Linked DNA regions of Drosophila melanogaster. The protein of the gene in region 2 purifies or fractionates together with the protein of the main gene of each other region. This does not show direct contact. Each region holds a gene or a part of one and is shown on either strand. Other genes may lie near its edges.

Region 1 (3,667 bases), on a different chromosome or scaffold from region 2:
CTTACGCTTTTGGTAAAGATGTACATACTGGAGTTTTGCCCAAATTTGTAGGCGCGGGCGTGACACGCCCGACATGCTTCATGCGCCGACCTTGCAGTTGATGCTTAAGTGTTCGGGGCTTTCGTGCTGCATAGTTGTGCACGCAGCCATCTCTTGGCCGTACGAAACTGGTTTTGTTTCCTTTGCCCGCCTAGATGCTACCCACATAAATATGCAAACAAGCGCCGTATGTATGTGAGACCGTAGTCCGTAGTACATGGTCTCAGACCTAGCCAGCTATGACGGATAAGTTGTCATTAACCATAATGACGCGTGCGGAGCGGGTCAAATATTTGGCAACCGTGTTCTAACGAATTTCGTTGGTTTTTCCTTAGGCGTACGAATGAAATCGGCAACAAAACAGAGGCACGATGCCGCGCAAGTTGCTTAAATTCCTTATCATCTTCGACAACACTTCCCTCCTGTACTTCCCGGGCCAGTTTCTCTCCGGACGGGTTCTAATCGAATTGCAGGATGAGACGCCTGCTTTGGGACTTCATTTCCATGTGGTAGGCGAAGGGGTCGTGCGCAACGGGCGGCGACAGGAGCGGACATACGATAAGGAGAACTATATCGACTTTCGGATGCGACTTCTGGGGGACGTAGACCAAGGAGGTCCAGCTATACTCTCGCCAGGAATTCACAGCTTCCCCTTCAAACTCGGCTTGCCACTGGGTCTTCCATCTACATTTCTCGGTCGGTACGGCTGGATTCAGTTCTACTGCAAGGCGGCGCTCCGCGAGAACAATGGCATTATCCATAAGAACCACCAGGTCTTCATTGTGATGAATCCCATCGACCTAAACCTTGAAAAGCCCATCTTAGCAGTAAGTAGCTTTAAAAACCCTGTTTAAAAAAACTAACCTTTCGCCTGACTCAGCAACCGTTCACCTGCGAAGTTGAGCACAAGCTAGGCGTCGTCTGTGTTGGTGGAGGTCAGATAAAGTGCAGAGTGTCCCTTGATCGCGGTGGGTATGTGCCCGGCGAGAATATTCTGGTCACCGCATTTATATCCAACTACAGTAATGTGTCCATTAAACGGACTAAGGCATCCCTCACTGAGGTCGGTATCGCTTTCAAGTGGCTAGTTACAATTCATCCATTTTGATCTTATTTGGATTTTATTTAGACCATCGAGTATTTGGCGCGGGGGAAGGTGGTGCAAACGGAAAAACGGGAGCTGGCTGTTTTAGTTCGTGGCAAGATCCGTCCGGGGGCCAAAGACGAGTGGCACAACGAGCTTTACGTTCCACCCCTGCCGCCGACCAATCTTCATGGCTGCCACCTGATCAAAATATCCTACGACGTCTTCTTCGTGATCGAACCCAAGTCCATGGAGAAGGAGATTAAGCTACAGCTTCCTATCGTGCTTGCGACGTACCCCTTTCGACACTCCGGTGATGCGGTCAATGCCAACACCTGGCCGGAATCGGTGCTTAAGCCGGACACGCACACCCACTATCCGTCCACACTACCCATATTCCGGCCCTGGCTGCACGAGAAGCCTATCGAGGCATAGCCCGCAGCTTTTAGGATTGCTGTGTATCACAACTTGTTAAGACCGATTTGCGCCATACAACAATTTAAACTTATTTAACTTATACTTAACGTTTTTTAATGTTTCTGGTCTTTGCATTTGTAGGTCTTCCGTTCCCAAAAATTTGTTCATGATTGAAGAATTTATAACAAATACAAACGAAAGTTAACATAAAGACCAGACTTTGATAAATTATAATTAGCTCATATACATAACTTTTTATAAAACCTAAATATTGTAGGTTATATATTATTAAAATGGTAAAACTGCACTCATTAACCTTCTAACTACTACTAAATGGTTATAATAATAATAATAATCCCAAAAGTATGGTTGTTGAAATTGAAATAAATTGTTTAAAACGTTACAGCCTAAAGTATGCTATTAAAAAGCTGGCTTGTTCGGAATTTAAATTCGCGAAATTAAGTATTGATTCCAAAACTAAAAAGGGCCACACTGCACGTTAAGATGACAACAATTATATTAGTCCTCTTTATTTGGATAGTTTTATTCAATGACGTATCCAGCGACTGTGGCTGCCAAAAGCTCGACCGGAAGGCCCCGGATATGCCGTCCATTTCCGGACAAGTGTGCCAGCAACGAGCACAGGGTGCACACAGCCACTACCGGGATTACTATGGCGAACTGGAGCCAAATATTGCGGACATGTCACTGCTTCCGGGAGGCACGGTTTACATGGGTACTGACAAACCGCACTTTCCGGCCGACCGCGAGGCTCCGGAACGGCAGGTGAAGCTGAATGACTTCTACATCGACAAGTATGAGGTTTCCAACGAAGCCTTTGCGAAGTTTGTTCTGCACACTAACTACACCACGGAGGCTGAGCGATATGGCGACAGTTTTCTGTTTAAGAGCCTTTTGAGCCCATTGGAGCAGAAGAACCTAGAGGACTTCCGAGTGGCGAGCGCTGTCTGGTGGTACAAAGTGGCCGGCGTGAACTGGCGACATCCAAATGGCGTGGACAGCGATATAGACCACTTAGGCCGACACCCGGTAGTGCACGTATCGTGGCGCGACGCTGTGGAGTACTGTAAGTGGGCCGGCAAGCGGTTGCCCAGCGAGGCGGAGTGGGAGGCGGCTTGCAGGGGCGGCAAGGAGCGCAAACTGTTTCCCTGGGGCAACAAGCTGATGCCAAGGAATGAACATTGGCTGAACATCTGGCAGGGAGACTTTCCCGATGGCAACCTGGCTGAAGATGGGTTTGAGTACACCAGCCCCGTGGATGCCTTCCGACAGAATATTTACGACCTGCACAACATGGTGGGCAACGTCTGGGAGTGGACGGCAGATCTGTGGGACGTAAATGACGTTAGCGATAATCCAAATCGGGTCAAGAAGGGCGGTTCTTATCTGTGTCACAAGTCCTACTGCTACAGGTACAGGTGCGCGGCACGCTCGCAGAACACAGAAGACAGTTCAGCCGGTAACCTGGGTTTTCGGTGCGCCAAGAATGCGTGAGTTGTCATCGTGGGAAATTCCTCACAACTCTTTTATTTTTACAAATACAACAAATTAACCAAATATAAAGACTTTCATTCGAAATGTACGTCTTGTCGCTTCGCGTAATACATATGTGCGAAGTCCTCCACATTCTGGTACTTGGGATAAACTGAAGACGAGAGAAGTCGTCGTTTCTCTATTAGGCGGAACCGGCTGTCATCTACTGGGAAGTTTATATGAACATTAATTACAAATCAGTTTTATGTTCAGCCATGGGACACACATCTTACAACATAAATTTAAATAAGGCAATAGGGCTTCATTTGAATAACTGAAATTTCATTCAATACTGATTTTTCTATTACAATTTTTTAAATAAAAACGTCACAAATTAGGAATTACTTTAAATCCGTACATTTTGAACTGAAACTGTCGATTATTAAGTTTTTAGCTCAAGGAAAAATTGGGAATGTCAATTGTTTAAAGAAAAGAGCAAAAAGAGCTATCGATTACTATCGATACATACTAAGCCATCGATGGCTTTTTTATAAAAGTCGGCGCTGAAATTACCTTGTAAGAAATGCTTTTAAGTTAAAGATCTTTCTGTTGGATCAGTAGTCTCAAGAAAAA
Region 2 (4,704 bases):
TCGCTCGCCTTGCAGGAGGAACACAGGAAATATGTGCTTTGACGACAGGCAGGCGGACTTTTTTGGCAGGAAAGCATCTACTGAGGAGCGCAACAGCTTATAGGGCTTTCGAAGTCCACTTGGATAGTTCTCAACGATGGCCATGCTGTCAAGCACTTGACGAGGCAGGAAACTGTGAGATGCAGGCACTTGAACAAGGTTGCTAAAGTTTTTGGCAACAATCGCTTGCAGCTCGAACTCGCTGCCCTTTGTCTCCAGGTGAATACACTTTAGGTGGACGTGGCGTAGGTGAGCGAATATCAGGTAATAGTGGGCATAAGTCGCAGTGCCCACCAACTCTGCGTTCACCTCGATGCGGTAGGTATGTCCACGATGCATGAGTCGAGGTGTATTGAAATAGTTGCTCAGGATGACCTCTGTCAGTTCGGCGGGAAGTTCATGGGGATCTGCGACTAAGTACACATGTGCTTTGGTTGCTATTCCAGGTATTGTCTGCTCATCGGCAAAATGCTCTACCTGCACCCAGCAGTTGGAGCGGATTTGAAAGCGATCCAATATGTTGCCGTAGAAGTTCTCCTGAAATTTTACACGATGTAGAATTATAGAAAATATTCCATTTATTTAGAACTAGATACCCACCTGAACGTACAGACAATTGGGTTGGCACTGTGCAGCCGGCAAGATCTGGGCCACAATCGTATGCGGCGCCTCCTGGAGCATTTGCTTGATAACCGTTTGGGTCATATTTCCTTCGTCTGAAGCTAGCGGCTTACCGATTCTTACCCTCCTGCCGCGGATAACCAAGTTGACAAAGTTGACGTCCGGCGATTCCGCATAGTTTTCGTACACCTCCTGACTGGCGAACACCAGGTGCTCCGACTTAATCTGCTCGTTCTTGATCAGCAGATCGTAGAGGCGGTTCGGAATGGGGGTCAGCAGAAACTTGCCCTTGTAATATTTGGCGTAACGCCAGTATACGGCGTATGTCAGATATCCGGGGTAGAGGAACCAGGGCCACTTGGGCGCCAGCAGCTGTATGGCCGAATTGTAGCCCTCGACTAGCTCCTGTACTCTCCCAGAGAAGCTAAATCTCGGCTGTCCTGGATCTTGTTGATCGAACGACACCGAATTCCGCTTGCCGACGACTTTTTTCTGCGGGAATTGATCACGATATTAGCTAATATGGCTTAAATGTTACATATGGACCTACCGCATCATCATTTTCATTCATTTTTTACAATAAATATGGACTAAACACAACAGAAAGCACGAGTACAAGGGTTAATTTCGAGGAGGCGGTGTCAAAGTTCAAGGAGTTGGGGGATAGGCGCCAGACAAATACACTGAAATATGCAATGGCAAGTTAATTCTGTTAATGCACAGCAAATTATTACCCTCTGCTATAAAAATTAGCTTGTTTATTTGGCCAGTTACTTTGTATTTTACCTTTTTCACAATTACTCTCCTCTTCATTACGAATGTTTTGATTCTGGTAAGATATTTGCTCAAAAAATACTAAAAGTATTCAGTCAGCTGTCCACAGTAAGACCTTTATAAGCACATCTTCAAATAATTTCTTTGACCTGCATAAAAGTTAAATATTAATTTTGTAGTAAAATGAAAGAATGAAATATGTCATTATATTTTAAGTAATTCCAAAAATTGGCAAAAAGATATAATTTATAATGTATTAATACAATTTATTTTTAGAATCCGTCTTCGCTAGTGGCTACTGTATATTTTGACTGTACTTGGTGCATTTTAGTATATTTCATTCTCCACTTGGCCGTTTTCAACCGATGCCAACCTGGTCACACTTTTCCACGCATAACAAAATAGTACACAAGTTCCATATATTTCAATTTTCCGCGAAAATGAGCCTGGAAGTGAGCAATATAAACGGGGGAAACGGTACTCAATTGTCCCACGACAAGCGTGAGCTGCTGTGCCTGCTGAAACTCATCAAAAAGTACCAGCTGAAGAGCACTGAGGAGCTGCTCTGCCAAGAGGCGAATGTGAGCAGTGTGGAATTGTCGGAAATCAGCGAAAGTGATGTTCAGCAGGTGCTGGGCGCAGTTTTGGGAGCTGGCGATGCCAACCGGGAGCGGAAACATGTCCAATCTCCGGCGCAGGGTCATAAACAGTCCGCGGTGACGGAGGCCAATGCTGCAGAGGAACTGGCCAAGTTCATCGACGACGACAGCTTTGATGCTCAGCACTATGAGCAGGCATACAAGGAGCTGCGCACTTTCGTTGAGGACTCCCTGGACATATACAAGCATGAGCTGTCCATGGTTCTGTACCCAATTCTGGTGCAGATCTACTTCAAGATCCTCGCCAGTGGACTAAGGGAGAAGGCCAAAGAATTCATTGAGAAGTACAAATGCGATCTCGACGGCTACTACATAGAGGGTCTTTTCAACCTTCTTTTGCTGTCTAAGCCCGAGGAGCTGCTGGAGAATGACCTCGTAGTAGCCATGGAGCAGGATAAGTTTGTCATTCGCATGTCCAGGGACTCGCACTCTCTGTTCAAGCGACACATTCAGGATCGCCGGCAGGAAGTGGTGGCAGATATTGTTTCCAAGTACTTGCATTTCGACACATACGAGGGCATGGCGCGCAACAAGCTGCAGTGCGTCGCCACCGCGGGCTCGCACCTCGGAGAGGCCAAGCGACAGGACAACAAAATGCGGGTGTACTACGGACTGCTCAAGGAGGTGGACTTTCAGACTCTGACCACTCCAGCGCCGGCACCAGAGGAGGAGGACGATGATCCGGATGCCCCGGATCGTCCGAAAAAGAAAAAGCCAAAAAAGGATCCCCTGCTGTCGAAAAAGTCCAAGTCGGATCCGAATGCTCCATCCATCGACAGAATTCCCCTGCCGGAACTGAAGGATTCGGACAAGTTGCTAAAGCTTAAGGCTCTCAGGGAAGCCAGCAAGCGTTTAGCCCTCAGCAAGGATCAACTGCCCTCTGCCGTCTTCTACACGGTGCTTAATTCCCATCAGGGCGTAACCTGTGCCGAGATTTCAGACGATTCCACGATGTTGGCCTGTGGATTTGGCGATTCTAGCGTGAGGATTTGGTCATTGACGCCCGCGAAGCTGCGTACGCTGAAGGATGCAGATTCCCTTCGCGAACTGGACAAGGAATCGGCGGATATCAATGTGCGTATGCTGGATGACCGAAGTGGTGAGGTAACCAGGAGCTTAATGGGTCACACCGGACCCGTATACCGCTGTGCCTTTGCCCCCGAGATGAACCTGTTGCTCTCATGTTCCGAGGACAGCACCATAAGGCTGTGGTCTCTGCTCACCTGGTCCTGCGTAGTCACCTACCGCGGGCACGTTTACCCGGTGTGGGATGTTCGCTTTGCGCCGCATGGCTACTATTTTGTTTCTTGTTCGTACGACAAAACTGCTCGTCTGTGGGCCACGGATTCCAATCAAGCGTTGCGCGTATTCGTGGGTCACTTGTCGGACGTGGATTGTGTACAATTTCATCCCAATTCCAATTATGTGGCCACCGGTTCTAGCGATCGCACGGTACGCCTGTGGGACAACATGACCGGTCAGTCGGTACGCCTGATGACGGGCCACAAGGGATCGGTGAGTTCTCTGGCCTTCTCCGCCTGCGGCCGGTATCTGGCCTCGGGTTCAGTAGATCACAATATCATCATCTGGGATCTGTCGAACGGATCCCTGGTCACCACCCTGTTGAGGCACACTAGCACTGTGACCACGATCACCTTTAGTCGCGATGGAACAGTCCTGGCTGCAGCCGGCTTGGATAACAATCTAACTCTGTGGGACTTTCACAAGGTTACCGAAGACTATATCAGCAATCACATCACTGTGTCGCACCATCAGGATGAGAACGACGAGGACGTCTACCTCATGCGTACTTTCCCCAGCAAGAACTCGCCATTTGTCAGCCTGCACTTTACGCGCCGAAATCTCCTGATGTGCGTGGGTCTATTCAAGAGTTAGGAGCACAGATAAGCTTATTTGGTATACGTAATGTAGTGTTAAGGAATGCTCGGAATGTTTAGGATTAATGTTTTGTATTTCGTTTGTGACCCATCCCCCCTGAAATGTCGATTAGTTGTTTAAGCATAAAAGTGTAAAGTGCATATATGCGCAAGTTATCAATAAATTTTAATTAATATAAAAGTCAATCATTAAGGTTCTTATATATAATTCATATTTATTTAAAAGTCATATAAAGCATATACACAGATAAATACGTAGCTGTACGATTTGCCTACTCTGCATCAGGGATTCCAAACGTTCGGCGCACGGCTATCGAGTTCTTGATGTTAAAGATCGCACAGCGCGGAGGCTTCTCTCCGCCGAAGGCCAGGGTGTAGGGATCCTCGGGGCACTGGCGCATGCACTGCAAGCGACCCATGTTGAACTCGTGCTCGTAGACGTGCTTTGCCTCTGTGCCATCAAAGTTCCACACCTTTAGGGTGCCCTCCGTGGAGGTGGAGGTCAGCAGATTAGGCTTCTGGTTGTTGAAGCACACACCGGAGATTTCCTCGTTGTGGGCCTTTACGGACCACAGCAGTTGTCCAGGAGAACGTTTGTCGGCGTAATGCAAGGTGCCATCGTTGGTGCCCACGATGAAGTAGTCGGTCTGTGTGGGATGCCACAGGACCTTCTCCACTTCACCGTCAACTTTCCACTCAATGCTGGACGAGTT

Evidence for each region.
Region 1: the proteins of Taf5 (region 2) and CG7049 purify together in Drosophila melanogaster (affinity purification with mass spectrometry, with the first as the bait; one large-scale study listed by BioGRID). This does not show direct contact.

Annotation. Positions count from the first base shown.
Region 1 is NT_037436.4:174,581-178,247, reverse strand, and holds CG7049 (uncharacterized protein), read left to right. Parts: upstream 1-2,019; 5' UTR 2,020-2,044; coding exon 2,045-3,055; 3' UTR 3,056-3,136; downstream 3,137-3,667. Other genes in the region: Vdup1 (vitamin D[[3]] up-regulated protein 1), read left to right, coding at 411-866, 920-1,102, 1,169-1,558.
Region 2 is NT_033778.4:10,876,776-10,881,479, reverse strand, and holds Taf5 (TBP-associated factor 5), read left to right. Parts: upstream 1-1,806; 5' UTR 1,807-1,874; coding exon 1,875-3,989; 3' UTR 3,990-4,168; downstream 4,169-4,704. Other genes in the region: Pex6 (peroxin 6), read right to left, coding at 1-576, 640-1,152, 1,447-1,473; nclb (no child left behind), read right to left, coding at 4,264-4,704. UniProt on the Drosophila melanogaster protein: TFIID is a multimeric protein complex that plays a central role in mediating promoter responses to various activators and repressors. May play a role in helping to anchor Taf4 within the TFIID complex.